Arabidopsis thaliana: one gene and its partners. The protein of the gene in region 2 binds, or shares a complex with, the protein of the main gene of each other region. Each region holds a gene or a part of one and is shown on either strand. Other genes may lie near its edges. The genes, in order: ALB3, CAO and CPSRP54. A codon is read from its position in the direction of its gene.

Region 1 (5,515 bases), 7.1 Mb from region 2:
GCTCTTTTTTTCTCTCCTGGTGTCAATGCTTCAATTATGAACGTTAACTAATTTATTGCTTTATGAGCTTCTTTCTCGTCCAAACATTCTTAAAAACAATAGTGAAAGTCTCGATTACGAATTCAATATGACTACGTTCAATTTCATATATCGCTTTCCATTCTAATTTTTTAAGATTTGGCATAGGTGTACTAATCATTTGCTTCATCTGCCGAACAAATTTTCATAATTACTTTTTTAAAGAACGCATATGCGGTTATAATTTGTACCACTCTTAACTTTGCATATGAATTTACTTAATTACTTATGCACCCATTAATCAATGGAAGCCCGAGGTAATATGCAACCTGATTAAAAAATATTACGTTATTATTCTGATGGTCCGTACATACAAATATTACTTTTTATAATTTTCCTATGTATCCTTTGTATATGAATTGAAAAGCATTTTAGAGAAATAATTTCTATTTAGTAACAAATTAATGAGTTATTACCCATAAATTATTCTTACGTCTCCATCAAAAAGTGAGTTTAGCCTTGAAAGTTCTGTGTCGACGTCGTTATGTTATAAAACAATAAATACGAACTCTTAATCGTTCGTTGTCATATAAAATTAAGAAAAAAATACAACATCATCATTTTTTTTATTTTTTTTGTCAAACTTACAACATCATCATTTCTATCAAAAATTTATGTTAAAAAACAAATTATGAAATAAATAATTATTTCACAACGAAAAATAATAATAACAAATATAATTATTTTCAAAACAACTTTAAATTTAATTTCTATATATAGTATTTGGTATAGGTCTATATATGATCGTGACGTGTGAAATATAATTGAGGAACGGTGGATGATTCTTGAAAACAATGTGGAAGATATTTAATTCAGTATGATGCTTAAAAAAACTCATAACGTTAGCTATGTTTTGTTGAATATTACATCACATAAACGTATGGGTGTGCACTTAGAGCGAGCCGGTGATTATAGGTTTGTTTTTTTTGGTAAAAAATTATTGAGAGATTATTGATTATAGGTTTTGAAGCTATCGATCTGAGCTAGAGATTAAGGAACGAATCCCTCTATGAACATTTAAACCTTGTTCTTTTTGCTTATTAACTGAGAGATTAGGATCCTAAAATCTATACAACACTAGAGATCATTATCCAAAAGATTTTACTTAGTCCCATTTGCGGTCACATTTAATTCCCTAAAAGCATGAAAATTCTATCCCATTTGTTTTTTCCACTAGACTTGGGACTCAAAGCGTAATTTATAACTATCTTACGTTAGAGAGCATTATTTACGACCATTATTTAGGCTGAACTCATTATAGACATCGATCAAGCTCTAGTGTTAAATACATTTTCTTTGTGGGATTAATCTTTAAAGGCCTTGTAATCACTTACTATTTCGTAAGTTATGAAGATTTGGGAACCGGATTATGGCTTTGGGAAGTTAAGTCCTATGACTCAAGCTTACCTTTTTAGGGTTGTGTATAGGTTCTCGATAAATGTTTCAGATTAGTTCATTTGTTTTTTTGTTTATAAAAACTACATAATATAAAACGTGGAAAGAAAGTGATAATGACAAGAAATAAAAGTAAGAAAGGTGGTGGTGTGAGAATCAGATTCGATGTCAACTAATTGAAAGAGAGTACGCAGCTTTTTCTTCACAATTATATATATTTTGTGGAAAAGCTTACCATACATTCACAAAGCATTCGAGATTTGATTTTTATAGAAAAGTATTTACATAAAGTATTTTCTAAATCGGTTTCTATTTTGTATGCTTTCAGTTTTATTTTGTGTTGGGGAAGTGATCCATGCATTGAGCTTGGAGATTGATGGATTGGTAATTAAGCCTATTAAGTTAAGCAGGCCTGTTTCTAAAATGGGCCCTAATAAGCCCAAACTACAAAAAGCACCGATATATCCCACGTTAGATACATGTCCACGTGGACTCCTATGACTGGATGTAATCTCCACCACGCGCGATCACCAGCTTCGTCTCTCATTTTCATTTTCCAATTTATTTTCAAAAAAAGATAAATCCAGAAAAAAATTTACAAAATAAAAAAATAAAAATCTCTATCTTCTTCTTCGTCTCTTCTCATCCTCCTCTCAAGCTCCAATGGCGAGAGTTCTAGTCTCGTCTCCATCTTCATTCTTCGGTTCACCGTTGATTAAACCGTCGTCATCTCTCCGTCACAGTGGAGTAGGAGGAGGAGGAACCGCTCAATTTCTTCCATACCGGAGTAATAATAACAAACTCTTCACTACTTCAACCACCGTACGATTCAGCTTAAACGAGATTCCTCCTTTCCATGGCTTGGATTCATCTGTAGACATCGGAGCGATTTTCACCAGAGCTGAATCTCTTCTCTATACAATAGCTGACGCCGCCGTTGTTGGTGCTGATTCCGTCGTAACTACTGATTCATCCGCCGTGCAGAAGAGTGGTGGTTGGTTTGGTTTTATCTCCGATGCTATGGAATTGGTTCTTAAGGTGAGTTTTAAGCTGCTAATTTCGATCTCTGTGTGTAGAATTCTGGAAATTGTATTTGTAGCTTAAGTTTTTTGGTTTGGATTTTTAGATTTTGAAGGATGGATTATCAGCGGTTCATGTACCTTATGCTTATGGATTTGCGATTATCTTGCTTACGATTATCGTCAAAGCAGCGACGTATCCTTTGACTAAGCAACAGGTTAGTGAGTGTGATTAGTTGAATTTTGCAGCTCCTCTTGTCACTTTGATTCAATTTTGGCATGTTGGTTGAGAATTTTTGAGCATTGCTTTTGTTTTGGAATCCTTTAGGTTGAATCAACACTAGCGATGCAAAATCTTCAACCGAAAATCAAAGCGATTCAACAACGTTACGCAGGAAATCAGGTGAGTTTCTTTGGATAGAGAATGAGTTACTTGTGGATGACGAGTCTGATTTGTTTGTTCTGTTTTTGGATATATAGGAGAGGATACAACTAGAGACATCGCGATTGTATAAACAAGCTGGTGTTAATCCGTTGGCAGGTACTTTCTTTTAGAAGTTACGAGTTTTGTATTCCCTTCCTGAATTGTGGTGACATATGCACATTATTGTTTTTTTTATGTTAGGTTGCTTACCAACTTTAGCAACCATACCAGTTTGGATTGGTTTATACCAAGCTCTCTCTAACGTGGCCAACGAGGTACATATACCTTATGTCTCTTTCAACTACTGATTTCGCTAGAGACCGGATAAGTTTGTCTCTTTCAACTACTAATTGTTCTAAAAACTTTTTTTTTGTAGGGATTGTTTACAGAAGGTTTCTTTTGGATTCCATCTCTGGGTGGACCAACATCTATAGCTGCTCGGCAGAGTGGATCCGGCATTTCGTGGCTTTTTCCGTTTGTGGTAATGGAAGAAAAAAACTTTATGTGAATACGTTTTCTCATTTGATACTTATCTTTATACTAAAAAATTTCATACAACTGAGTCTTTTGCTGTGCAATGAACCTTTATCAAATTGGTGTCTAATATCGTTCGGTGGTGCAGGACGGGCATCCACCATTGGGATGGTATGACACTGTAGCTTATCTTGTTCTACCTGTTCTACTTATTGCCTCCCAGTATGTGTCAATGGAAATTATGAAGCCTCCTCAAGTGAGAAATAAACACAAGTTTCTTTTATTTTTCCTGTTACTTAAACAATTTGATATGATTGTTCTGAAACCGAATTTAATTTCTTTTGTCAGACTGATGATCCTGCACAGAAGAATACGCTTCTTGTTTTCAAGTTTCTTCCACTCATGATCGGTTACTTTGCATTGTCTGTCCCATCAGGACTATCTATTTACTGGTTGGTTTCCCTCTCCTTGAAACTTCTCATCTAACTGTTTTATCCATGCCCTTGATCTACTCATTAAATGGAGTATAAGAAAGATTTTCTCTAGTAATTAACCTAGATGGCTTCATTCTCAAAATGTACGTAAGACGGGTTAGAATTTCGAGGAATACGAAGCTTGTTTGATAAGGAATCATCTAGTGTGACTACATTTTGTAACATCAATATTATTGTATATGACTGTGTTTATTGGTAGGATCTGAGTTTTATTTTTTCCCTTTTTATTATGCTACTGCTTATGTTAAACCATCCTATGGTTTTAGGCTCACAAATAATGTACTTAGTACCGCCCAACAAGTATATCTGCGTAAACTAGGTGGTGCAAAGCCAAATATGGATGAAAACGCAAGCAAAATAATAAGTGCGGGACGAGCAAAGAGATCTATTGCTCAGCCTGACGATGCTGGCGAAAGGTAAGTGAATCCCGAGTCTAGTGGAGATTATATCTCTCAATACGAAGCGTTTTTCTTACAAGTTTGTTATTTCTGATAAATGTATATTGGATCACAACAGATTTAGACAATTAAAAGAGCAAGAGAAGCGCAGCAAGAAGAACAAGGCGGTTGCGAAAGATACAGTTGAATTGGTAGAAGAATCTCAGTCTGAATCAGAAGAAGGGTCTGATGATGAGGAAGAAGAGGCTCGTGAAGGAGCGTTAGCTTCGAGCACAACAAGCAAGCCGCTTCCTGAGGTTGGCCAACGAAGAAGCAAAAGATCGAAGCGGAAACGCACTGTATAGAACCAAAGCAAACGAAATTGCAAGTAAGGAAGAGAAAAGAGAGAGATTTGAATCTTGTTCCTTAGTTTGATCTTTTGATATATATTTGCATACACCATGTCCGGTAATTATCTAATATTAGGGCACAAAAAGGTCATTCTAAAGTTAAAAGCAGTAGTTGATCAAAGTAAATTGTTTATGTGATTCATCTTATTATAAATGTATTAACGTAAATGTGTGTACTATTATGACTTTTCAACATGCCCGCTTCAGTTTTGTTAGCATTTCGTTGTTGTAAACTTGCAATCTATTTGTTTGGTGCTTTTATTAGCTTTGTCAGCTTATAAAAATGGTAAATGTGAATCAAGTAGTATAGTAATTTGTGCAATAAACGAGACAACGATTCCCCATGAATAAACAACAATTACTTCCTGACAAAGAAGCATTGTTCTTTGGATTGGCATGGATAAAATAGAGAGAGGTAAAAATATTACGATTTGGATTGGGCTGAGGCCCAAGATATGGTTACACGATTTTCAAATTCTCGAAGTTGTACAAGTAGACAAAAGACATCTTGTTTTGTCGTGTTGTCGTTTGGTGTTTGTCGTTTTGATGTGTTTGTCAAAGAACCCTGTTACTAATCTGAACGAATATAACTTGTCAGTGTAGCCACATTACACTAATATTCAGAGAAAGTTGTCATGTTGTTACAATCATGAGTCACATAGCATGTAATAGAGTGTACATTTCAATAGGTTTAGAAGTTTAGAACACATAAATCAATCGGTCCATCTAAAATGTTTGCATTATGGTTTACTCATTGTAACTTGTAAACATTACATATGTGAATGCTTACTATCCTAGAAAAGCAAAACTGTTGGAAACAGCTAAAAATTAATATATCTGCCTA
Region 2 (4,336 bases):
AATCTGAAATATGTAGTGTTGTTAACTGTGACGTGATGTCTTCTGTGGTCTGATAGTATAATATAAAACCCAGTGAAAACTAATATATTTGGCATCAATTTATATTAATCGACTGGAGGACTTGGCTAATGTGGTCGCGGTTAATCGACCTAGTTCCTTGTTTTCTCTAATCTATAATCTACATAATTGTTGTTTGGTTGGTTGTCCAACAGTAATTTGGTTGTTATACTAAATATATTTGGTTGATTTACGTACGCATGTTGTTTACAAAAAGAAACTTTTCTCATCCGTTCATGTCACTATAACTAGAAGTAACACACATGACTAGAGGCCCCTCTCGAATTAAGAGGAAAATTACAAACGAAAAATAGGCGATCGTTGTATTCACAAAGAAACGAAAATGTGTACTAAATCAACTCCGTCCTTTTTGTCTCCTTATGTCCATCATCAACGTAACATCACATGCACTGAAAATCTAGATGCTCATAATAATAAAAGTCTAGCCATTAACTGACAAACCAAAATTTCTCTCATATAGACACAATGCATCGAATATCGTCAAAAAAAAAAAAAAAAAAAAATGATGTTGAATTAGAGAAGAATGGATACTACTTATTCATATTTTCTAGTCATTTATTCAGACTTTGTATCTTTCTATAATTTCCTTAATCGCAAAGTGCAGTTGTACATTATCACTCTTCAGAAGTTGTTTTTATCACCAACAAATGTTACAAGAAACGGACCCATAAATAAAAGTTGTGTATTGGGTTTACATGTACTCTCTTCCTATATGAAATATATAGGCCCAATTAAATGTAAATGGGTTTTGAGATAAAGAAAAGCCTAAGACGATGTATTCTCTAAACCTGGGACGATAAAGAGCAAGTCAGCCAGCATCATGAATCTCCCCAAAAAGGGAAGCAAAATTCAAAGCATGGATATAAAATCAAATAGTGTCCCCAAAAGGCCAAAAACCATCAAGATCACATCTTAAAAGAAAATGAAAATGTACCGGTACGTACCAACCGAACCGGTCAGATGAACCAACACATATGAGAAAGAAGCAAATTGAGAAGAATGTAATCATCAAAATCAATCATTCATTCATTGGTTGTTGTTGTTGGTAGAGTAGAACAAGAGTAGAGTCGACATTGTCCTGAGGCTCCCAAGTGGCATCAGACATATCAGTCCATTTGACAAGATACTCGATGGTCTTCCCATCGTCTCCCACCCTCTTCCCGATCACACTCTCCGCTACAGCGTACTCCAGCCCATCCTCGTAGTCCTTAGCCACATCTTCCGCCACGTGTACACCTTTCACCCACTCGCAATCTCCACCGTCCTTCCATCTGACCAGATATTCAACGTCTTTGCCTTTCCCTCGTTTCTCTACGATCTCATCCACCTCGGCGTACTCGAACACTTGTCCTTCCAGGACATTGATCACTTTCTCTAACCCAATTCTCCTCCCGAACTGCATCGGATTCCCCTTCGGCGTCGTCTTCAGAATCTCCCTCGCTAGTTCCAACGCCGTTAACCCTCTCTCGTCTTCCACTTCAATATCAGCTCCCAGCTCCACCAGCGCCTCCACCACCTCCGGCCTCACGTAACCAGCCGCCATGTGCAGCGCCGTCAAGCCTCCCCTCATGTCTCGGTGGTCGAGATCGGCTCCAGCCTCCGCCAGAAGCCTTACGCACTTGTCCGACCCCAGACCTGCCACGAAAAGCAGAGCCGTCCGGCCGTTTTCGTCCACGGCATCGACGTCTCGGTCCTCCAGGAGCTGTGACAGGGCCTGCTCGTCGGCTTTTCTAGCTGCCGTCCACCAGGGTGTCTCGTACTCCGACACTACGTCTGCTGCGATGTAGCTCGATGGAACCCACGACGGAGAATGGCCGTCCTTCCACTCGATAAGGTACTCCATGGCTCCTTCCCCCGCCGTTCGGCTTCCAATGATCTTGTTCACTTCTCCGTACGATGATGATGACTCATCATCTTCCTCTGCCTCTTCCACGGAGGAGGTCGTTTCTTCGTAGTTTCTTTGTACGGCGGCACATATAGCTCCTCGGAAACACAGCTCGATCCGTCTGATCGGTAAGGATTCAGGGGAGAAAGCAGAAGAAGAAGAAGAAGAAGATTTGGGAGGAGAAAGTTTGATGCGAGACAGAGACTGATGGATTACTAGAGCACAAGTATCCATGGCCAAGAAGACCTTTTGCATAATAGAAGACAAGACTAGAGAAGAGAAGAGAGTTAACGGGACTCACTGGATTTTCTAGTGGATAAGAAATCTTAGCCACCCAATCATTTTCGAAAATTTTAGATGTCTGCAGCAAATTTTAGTTTTTTAAAAAAGAATCTAGTTTTAACATTTTTATAGGATTTTATTTTATGGACTGCACTTATTTTCTTCTACTTTTAGAAAATCAACAGGTTCTTCTATTTTTTGGAAAAAATCTTTATATACTAGATAATTGTGTTAAGACATTCTCATCAAAAAGAAAAGAAAAATATAAAACAATAAAATAAATATGAGTAAAATTGTAAATGTGGTTGGTTTTCTCATTCATATGATATTTTCTTGTGGATTTAAATTGGTATGTATACATTATGATATATGAGTTTGTCAATATATTATTTGTGTTTGATTTTACGACTTGTGTATATATACTTACTCCATCTTTAAACATCTTTAAATGGCAAGCAGACCATTTTTTTTTTTTTTTTTTTTTGAATTTGCACTTCAGTGATTTACATGATATGAGTATTAACATTATTATACAGCAAGTGAATAGTTTTTATTTAGTTTTCACCATCTATATTTTATTTGCCTAATTAAATTAATCATCCCAATACCATCAAATGGCAGCCAAACTTTATAGATAAGGACTCATCCGAATATTACTGACGTGAGCCAGACTCATCGACTATTTCTAGGCAAATCTCGAGAACTCAATAATAAAAAATAAATTAGTGCTCAATAGCTTAAGAGATAATTTTGATAATAAAATGAAAAAAAAAGTTTTGATACTAGTATTTTAATTTACGTGCAAATCAAGCTTCTGTCGTTTTATATGCACATGAAGATGAAGAAGAAACAAAGGAGACGAACATTGAAGATAAAAGTAAAGTGACAAAATTTTCTTGTAGTTGGAATAATCTTCCAAACCTAAATACATTGTTTCATTTGTATTCATACATCAAATGTATATATATTTTCTTATTTTATTTTCTTTTTTGACGGCTGAATGATTTGTTTTTCTGTCCGAAGACGAATCTACGGAAACGACGACGTTTCCAGTGGCTGACATGGTAGGATAAAAAATTCGGTTCAATATTTTTTAGCAGGTGAGCGCTTCGTATTTAACCGGGATTGGATGGTTGAAACCAGCCCTGGTTAGTAGATTCCCAACCGCAGCGAGATCTCTACAGAATACTCCTTGGTACGCATTGGAATTTACCGGTTTCGTTTCAGCGTTTCCGGTTCTCTTAATAGAACCGGATTTTTCAACCGGTTTGCGTTCTTCAATCTTTTGAGCGTGAGCAATGGCGTTCTTCCTCTGCTCCTCGGCTATGATCGCTGTCACGGCGGTGTATCCTTTCTGAATCAAACGGTAAAGCAACAGAGACGACATTTTGGCTCGATCTCTAACCGAATCGACGTCGTTTTGATCGGTGAACTCGCACCGTTCGATGAAAGAAGAGGCTCTATCGGGTTTGTATCTGAGACATAGCAATAGATGAGCTCGATCGAGCTCCGATCTGGTGCATCCGCGTCTGACTCCGATCAAGCCGTAATAATCGACATTCCCAGTTTCTCCGTTTGCGATTTTCTGCTTAAGTTTCTGCGTTTTCGTTGTCAAAACGCACAATTTCCCAGGAATCTCTCTGTATTTCACGTTGTGCCGCTTCCACACCGGACCCGGAAGCTTCCGATCGCGTAAAATGGTGTTGTAGAGAAGCTTCAAGTGTTCTAGATCGTGAAGCGAATCTGGAAAACACCTGACCGTTTCTAGAAGCGCGGCTCTGGTTTCTAACGCCTGGATACACGAGGGTTCAAGAGCTAGGGTTTTATTGCAATCGGCGATCGCTTCCGCGATTCTACCGGCGGATCTATAAGCGGCGGCTCGATGCATGTAGCATTCGGCGAGGAATCCTTGAGGCGCAGGGCGACGGCCATCGACGATCTTGGAGAAGTGACGGATCGACTCGGAGAACAGTCCAGCGTCGAGAGCGGCGATTGCAGCGGCGCGACGACGGAGAAGAAGCTTGATGTGAGCGAGGAGATGGGTGAAGTTCTCGCTCTCGGGTGGTGGAGAAGAAGCAGAGGAGGATTCGG
Region 3 (5,838 bases), on a different chromosome or scaffold from region 2:
AAAGAAGGAGAACATTCCGGAGCTAAGGAAGTGAAACTTACCAAACCCAAAATTTCCTTGTCGGATCTCACCTTTGTCATTTACGTAACTACCCGAGAAAAGCTATCATCTTCTACCATAAGTTGTGAGGAGATACCACTTAAGAAATGTGGCGCGGAGCTAGAGTGTGGCTCCAATGATCGATTCCATATACAAGTCGAAAACTTGAGCCATATGGGAATCTCCAAGTCTAGAATGGCTGGTGTAAAGATCGAGTGCGAGGTCATTTATAAGGAAGACTCGGAAGACGAGGCGGTAGTTAGAATCGTTAATGCTGAAAGGCCATTAGGCACAAACTTTGGATGGCTGAACAACGATCTTCTTGCTCCACTAGCTCATCGTGGTCTAACAGCCGAAATCCAGCTGAGTTTCAACAGCGAGTTATTGGACAAGATCGACCTCCAGATATTCCACCGAGGCGAGGGGAGATATTTTTCCCAAGACGATACTCTTGGTTATCTTCAATGTTTTTTCCCATCTAAAATCTAAGTATTTTAGTTATGCAAAGCCTATGAAATATTTAAAAGTACAATTTGTATGCATTTTGTTTGGTCGATTATATGATATTTAAATAAGAATATATTTCTACCTAGATAATCATGAGTTTTGTCAACAAATTGGTAATTAACTTGTAAGGTTTCTGTCTCATTCATTAACTTATACAAAAAAATAATCCGTTTAGAAATTAACCAAATTGGGCTGAAATAGTTTTAGTTACCAGAGCCGAAGCCACGAGGACCAGGCTTGCTTGATGCTGACTCTACAAATTTCTTCCTTGAGTCTGCCTTTCTCTTCCTCCTTGCAGTTCCAGGTGGAGCCTTAAGATACATTTACAAGACCCCATTAAACTCTGGTACATGTTAAAGATGAAGAAGAAGAAGAAGAAGAAATGGAAGAAACCTTTTGTTCTGCTTTCAATGCGTCCTCGAGACCGCTTAATGCTGGAATTGATCCTCCTTCCATCACTCCCATCAAGTTCTTCATTTTCACTCTCATTTGGAAGATTTGTGCTACAAGTGCGCTCACCTGAACCAACAACAACAAAATGGTATTGAGAATCTCCTTCTTCTTGTCTGAGATCTGCACAAAACTAAGCTCACAATCTGAGCGAGAGTACCTGTTGTTCTGTCTTTCCTGAATCTTTAGCGATTCTTTTTCTTCTCTCTGGAGATTCTGCTAGTAACTCTGGTCTCTCTCTTTCCTCTGTTCCAACAGATTTAAACCAAGAATTAGACAACCAAAATCTAGTTTATGAAATGCTTGTTTATTTAATGGAATGGAAGAAAGGAACAGAGACAAACCGGGTGTCATCACTTCAATCATTGCTTCCATGACTAAAAGATTCTTTTCCGCTTCTCGGATTTGTGCTGGACTCACTTTCCCCATTCCGGGAATCATTCCAAGAACTCGTGTCATCGAACCCATTTTCGCTACAGCACGAGTCTGCTTTAGAAAATCGTTGAAGTCGAACTTTGCACTCATTATCTTCTTCTGCAGATCTTCTGCATCTTCTTGACGCATCTATAAAGACAGATGAAGAAGGCCTCAATGGATAGAGAGAGAGGGAGAGGAAAACATAGTTTTGATTGTAATTTTACTGAGAAAGAACTTACAACTTCTGTTGCCTTCTCTACAAATGAAAGCACATCTCCCATTCCTAGAATTCGTCCAGCCATTCGATCTGGATAAAAGGGTTCAAGATCCTCCATTCGCTCTCCACGTCCTACCAGTTTAATCGGTTTTCCTGATACCTAGTAACACCCATTTAAGTGTAAACTATCAATGTTGAGCAACATTAAGTAAATTTCTATAAAATAATTGATTAAAGAAGAAGAAAACAAACCTCCTTGACACTCAAAGCAGCACCACCTCTTGAATCACCATCTAGCTTTGTCAAAATGGCTCCTGTAATTCCTATCTCTACATTGAATGTCGTCACCAGTGCTGTAGGAAGTACAGAAGCTCATCTTAGTATATGACCGATACAGCTACGGTTTTGAATCTAATCCATTTTCAGGATGTCTCGAATCTTCTTGACAAAGGTAAAATAGAAACAGCGTACCTGCAGCTTCTTGTCCAGTCATGGCATCAACAACTAGTAACACTTCTGTTGGATTCAGAAATTTCTTCACGTCTTTTAATTCGTCCATCATGCCTTTATCTATCTGTCACAAAGAGGCAATTTCATGACTGAAGCTGCAATAGATTTATGATACAATGACTCTTAAAGACGAAACATTACCTGAAGCCTCCCTGCAGTATCCATAATAACTACATCAACATTGTTCTTTTTAGCTTCTTTTAGACCTTGCTTAGCTATATCTGCAGGTTTTACATCAGTCCCTGCTGTATAAACCGGCACACCAACCTGACACAAAGAGGGCATCAGGGAATATTGATTTCCGGAATCAAATATCATCACATATTCACACAGAGGTTAAGCCATTTCAATACCTGTTCACCTAAAATGACAAGTTGATCGATAGCAGCAGGTCGGTATACATCTCCAGCAATAAGCATGCAAGATTTTCCCTGTAAACATCATTATTAGTCAGTGTCATTGACAGAAAGTAGTAACAAACAATCCCATCAAAATCTCCACTGTATTCATACCTGCTTCTTTAGGTAACAAGCTAGTTTAGCACAAACCGTTGTCTTTCCAACTCCTTGGAGCCCAGCCAACAATATTACTGTAGGACCTGATTTAGCAAACTGTAACTCAGATACTTCTCCACCCATCAATTTCACTAGCTCATCATGTACAATCTGCAATAAAGCCATGATAAGCCACACTTGAGTACTATTGATACCAAAATGATCATCATAGAGTGAATCAAATATCAAACCATTATGCTAATGAAACAAAAACAAGAACCGGTTTTATTGCTAATTACCTTGACCAATTGCTGATCTGGTTTGACTCCACGAATGACACCCATTCCAACGGCTTGGTCACTAACAGACTGAACAAACCTTCTAACAACTGGGAGACTCACCTGTTAACAAAATTACTTTTATACCACATTCTTCACAAGAACCTAAATGAAACAGAATAAAACACCACTCACATCTGCTTCCAGGAGAGCTCTTCTGATATCCCGCATTGGCTCAGCAATATTGTCCTTAGTCAAGACCTCTGCAAGTTCAAATAACGTAACTAGCTTAAACCCGTGCTCATCTTTTCTGCATCTTCTAATAGCAAACACTACTCTTAACTACAAAGTTTTCTTCATTGAATACATCAATAAAACTTAGTCTCTATTCATTCCTCCTAATTTGAGCTCACGGGCAACGAAATAAGAAAGAAAAAAACCGAACCTTCGCCTTTGAGTTTGCTCCAAGCAGCCTCGAGGCCACCAGTCAACTGACCAAACATCTCGGCTCTCACTTGGCTTCTTCTGTATCTTCCATGGCCAACAACAGTCTTCGATTTCACCCAACTCCATATCTCTCGCTACTCAACACAGAACATCACAAACAAGACTAAATAACCAGAAAATCTTACAAAACCACCAAACTAAAAAACGAAAAGAAGCAAACTTTGAAGCCAAACCGTGGAGAGATTCCTAGAGGAGGACAGAGAAGCTGAATTGATGGTGCCACCGGTGAACGCAGAGCTGAAGGCAGCCTTAATTCTCCTATTTCCGGTACAGCTCAGAGTACAAGGAACTCTATTCACGCTGGAAAATTGAAGAGCCTCCATTACTAGTGAGTGAGTGATCAAAGCTCAAAACTTTTCACGACTCTCCGCAATCTTCTTGGTACTTCTATCTTCCTTTTGGATGGTTCCATTTTATCCGTTTCGATGACGTGGCCCAGTAACAGACCGTCGATGGTGAGCTTTCCACAAAACGCTGCATTTTAAAACTAGAACCATCTCTCTCTTTCTCCTTACAGGCGCGGCTCAGATCCCGACAAGTGTACGGCTAAGATCACGAATCTCTTCTTGAAAGTAATCCTCCGCGATTACCCAATCGGTTATCGGTTCGGTTCCACTCGATTTCGGTTCTTTCGATTATAAAGTTTATTTGAATATTTTAAAATTTAGTTCAGTTTGGTTCCACTTCTTTCAGTTTTAAAATTTAGTATCCATTGTTTTAGATATTTTCTGGTGTTTCGGTTATTTTTAGATATTTTTAAGTATTTTTACTATTATATATATTTTTCAAAAATTAAAAAACTTTTAATAGTGGTAAAAAATTGCAAATTTTAATTTATTTTTTTTAAAATGTAAAAAAATTATATGTATAAACATATTGAATTTAGAACACCGCTTAAGGACCTCATATTATGGACAAGATATTGTGTCCAATTAGTTTACACATAATTAAAATTTAACATTTAAAACAAAAATATTTTGTATAAAAACAAAAACAAAAACAAAAACAAAAACCTTAAATTTTAAATAGTGATATGAAAAATACAACTTAATATATTTTAAAATATAAAAAATGTTAAAATTTAAAGATGTGTATAACATATTGAACCTAGAACACCGCTTAAGGACCTTATATTATGGACGGGATGTTGTATTCATTTAGTTTACACATATTTAAAATTTAACACTTAAAAACAAAAAACATACTATGTATATATAAAAATTATTTTATCTAAAATATTAATTAGAAATAAAAAAAATATTAAAGTTTAAATAGTGGTAGAAAAAATACAAATTTAAAATTTTTTTAAAATAAAAAATTGTTAAACATTTATATATATGTAAACATATTAAACCTAGAACACCGCTTAAGGATCTCATATTATGGACGGGATGTTGTGTCCAATTAGTTTACACATACTAAAATTTAACATTTAAAACAAAAATATTATGTATATTTTAAAAATAAAACACTTGATCTAAAATATTACTTCAAAAATAAAAAAAAAACTTAAAGTTTAAACAAAAACTTGAATAAAAATTGCAAAAGATTTTTTAAAAATTAATGAGAAAAAACCCTTTTTTTCGACATCACTGAGGAAAAACCCTTTAATTAAAAATATATTAATTTCTAAATTAAACAAGAAAATGAGTTGCGAAATAACCTGACAATGGGGCTCATTGTTTGATGGGCTGAAATTGTTTGTGTTGGGCCTCCGAGAACACATCGACCATCTGAGAGCACATGCGATCATCAGTAACCGTTACCGGAAAAACGAATCCCCCAATCTCCGACGATCCCTCCACCTGCTCAATCTCCATCGCGGAGAAAACCTCCAACATCATGAATCCAAAAGCCTTAAATCCCGGCGACATGTAAGCCTTTAACTCCTTCGAATCGTCTCGCTCTCTCTTTCTACGGTGAGATGTGGTCCCAAATTGACGGCGAAGTGAATATCCTCCGTCGTTTATACGAGACGTGATGCTTGCGTGTGTGATGATCTCTCTCTCTCGTCTTCTTCGTAGCTATAACAAGTGAACAGAGATCCGTTGTATATGTATGAGTCTTTCTTGGGCTTTGACTTGTGGAATGATTCTTTCTAAACGAAGGGCGAAGAAAGAATCAGAGCATCATCATCTTGAAGCAGACAGATATCGAAGAAGAGAATTGATAATAAAGCTAATCAGAGAAATTGCATCTTTTAACTCGTGGAGATAGAAGACGCGAGACGCAGGTATTTATAAACTTATTTGTTTGAGACTCAAGTTTCCTTTTTCCTTTTCACTTAGGGTTTGTTTAAAGCCCAGAGCAAAACACCAACCTTAGGTTCGGTGATAATCTAGCCGTTATACACGGTTAGGTGATAATCTAACAGCTATACATGGTTCGGGTAACAAACTTTCCTTTTTTAAGTTGATAC

The links.
Region 1: the proteins of CAO (region 2) and ALB3 are in contact, whole or in part, in a crystal structure (PDB 5E4W), measured with the Arabidopsis thaliana proteins. Residues at the interface, in NP_566101.1 of Arabidopsis thaliana: Asp273 (codon at 1,402), Glu274 (codon at 1,399), Asp312 (codon at 1,285), Tyr313 (codon at 1,282), Gly316 (codon at 1,273), Leu317 (codon at 1,270), Glu318 (codon at 1,267), Tyr319 (codon at 1,264), Ala320 (codon at 1,261), Val321 (codon at 1,258), Ala322 (codon at 1,255), Trp343 (codon at 1,192), Asp345 (codon at 1,186), Met346 (codon at 1,183), Thr350 (codon at 1,171), Glu352 (codon at 1,165), Asn356 (codon at 1,153), Asp358 (codon at 1,147); in NP_180446.1 of Arabidopsis thaliana: Lys454 (codon at 4,597), Arg455 (codon at 4,600), Ser456 (codon at 4,603), Lys457 (codon at 4,606), Arg458 (codon at 4,609), Lys459 (codon at 4,612), Arg460 (codon at 4,615), Thr461 (codon at 4,618).
Region 3: the proteins of CAO (region 2) and CPSRP54 are in contact, whole or in part, in an NMR structure (PDB 2HUG), measured with the Arabidopsis thaliana proteins. Residues at the interface, in NP_566101.1 of Arabidopsis thaliana: Glu268 (codon at 1,417), Tyr269 (codon at 1,414), Ala270 (codon at 1,411), Glu271 (codon at 1,408), Val272 (codon at 1,405), Lys283 (codon at 1,372), Val289 (codon at 1,354), Trp291 (codon at 1,348), Glu298 (codon at 1,327), Trp299 (codon at 1,324), Val300 (codon at 1,321), Lys301 (codon at 1,318), His304 (codon at 1,309), Val305 (codon at 1,306), Ala306 (codon at 1,303), Val309 (codon at 1,294); in NP_196014.1 of Arabidopsis thaliana: Pro532 (codon at 851), Gly533 (codon at 848), Thr534 (codon at 845), Ala535 (codon at 842), Arg536 (codon at 839), Arg537 (codon at 836), Arg539 (codon at 830), Lys540 (codon at 827), Ala541 (codon at 824), Asp542 (codon at 821), Ser543 (codon at 818).

Annotation. Positions count from the first base shown.
Region 1 is NC_003071.7:12,355,780-12,361,294, reverse strand, and holds ALB3 (63 kDa inner membrane family protein), read left to right. Parts: upstream 1-1,726; 5' UTR 1,727-2,136; coding exon 2,137-2,511; intron 2,512-2,599; coding exon 2,600-2,710; intron 2,711-2,820; coding exon 2,821-2,895; intron 2,896-2,972; coding exon 2,973-3,033; intron 3,034-3,117; coding exon 3,118-3,191; intron 3,192-3,292; coding exon 3,293-3,397; intron 3,398-3,538; coding exon 3,539-3,646; intron 3,647-3,738; coding exon 3,739-3,842; coding exon of another isoform or gene 3,843-3,876; exon of another isoform or gene 3,877-4,150; coding exon 4,151-4,300; intron 4,301-4,400; coding exon 4,401-4,626; 3' UTR 4,627-4,974; downstream 4,975-5,515. UniProt on the Arabidopsis thaliana protein: Required for the insertion of some light harvesting chlorophyll-binding proteins (LHCP) into the chloroplast thylakoid membrane.
Region 2 is NC_003071.7:19,470,663-19,474,998, reverse strand, and holds CAO (chloroplast signal recognition particle component (CAO)), read right to left. Parts: upstream 2,427-4,336; 5' UTR 2,219-2,426; coding exon 1,097-2,218; 3' UTR 612-1,096; downstream 1-611. Other genes in the region: AT2G47440 (Tetratricopeptide repeat (TPR)-like superfamily protein), read right to left, coding at 3,339-4,336.
Region 3 is NC_003076.8:1,059,516-1,065,353, forward strand, and holds CPSRP54 (chloroplast signal recognition particle 54 kDa subunit), read right to left. Parts: upstream 3,911-5,838; 5' UTR 3,743-3,910; coding exon 3,593-3,742; intron 3,494-3,592; coding exon 3,358-3,493; intron 3,176-3,357; coding exon 3,108-3,175; intron 3,036-3,107; coding exon 2,934-3,035; intron 2,806-2,933; coding exon 2,653-2,805; intron 2,572-2,652; coding exon 2,494-2,571; intron 2,408-2,493; coding exon 2,282-2,407; intron 2,205-2,281; coding exon 2,102-2,204; intron 1,984-2,101; coding exon 1,883-1,983; intron 1,791-1,882; coding exon 1,653-1,790; intron 1,561-1,652; coding exon 1,341-1,560; intron 1,243-1,340; coding exon 1,157-1,242; intron 1,066-1,156; coding exon 940-1,065; intron 858-939; coding exon 750-857; 3' UTR 591-749; downstream 1-590. Other genes in the region: AT5G03930 (F-box protein), read left to right, coding at 1-528; AT5G03944 (uncharacterized protein), read right to left, coding at 5,096-5,293.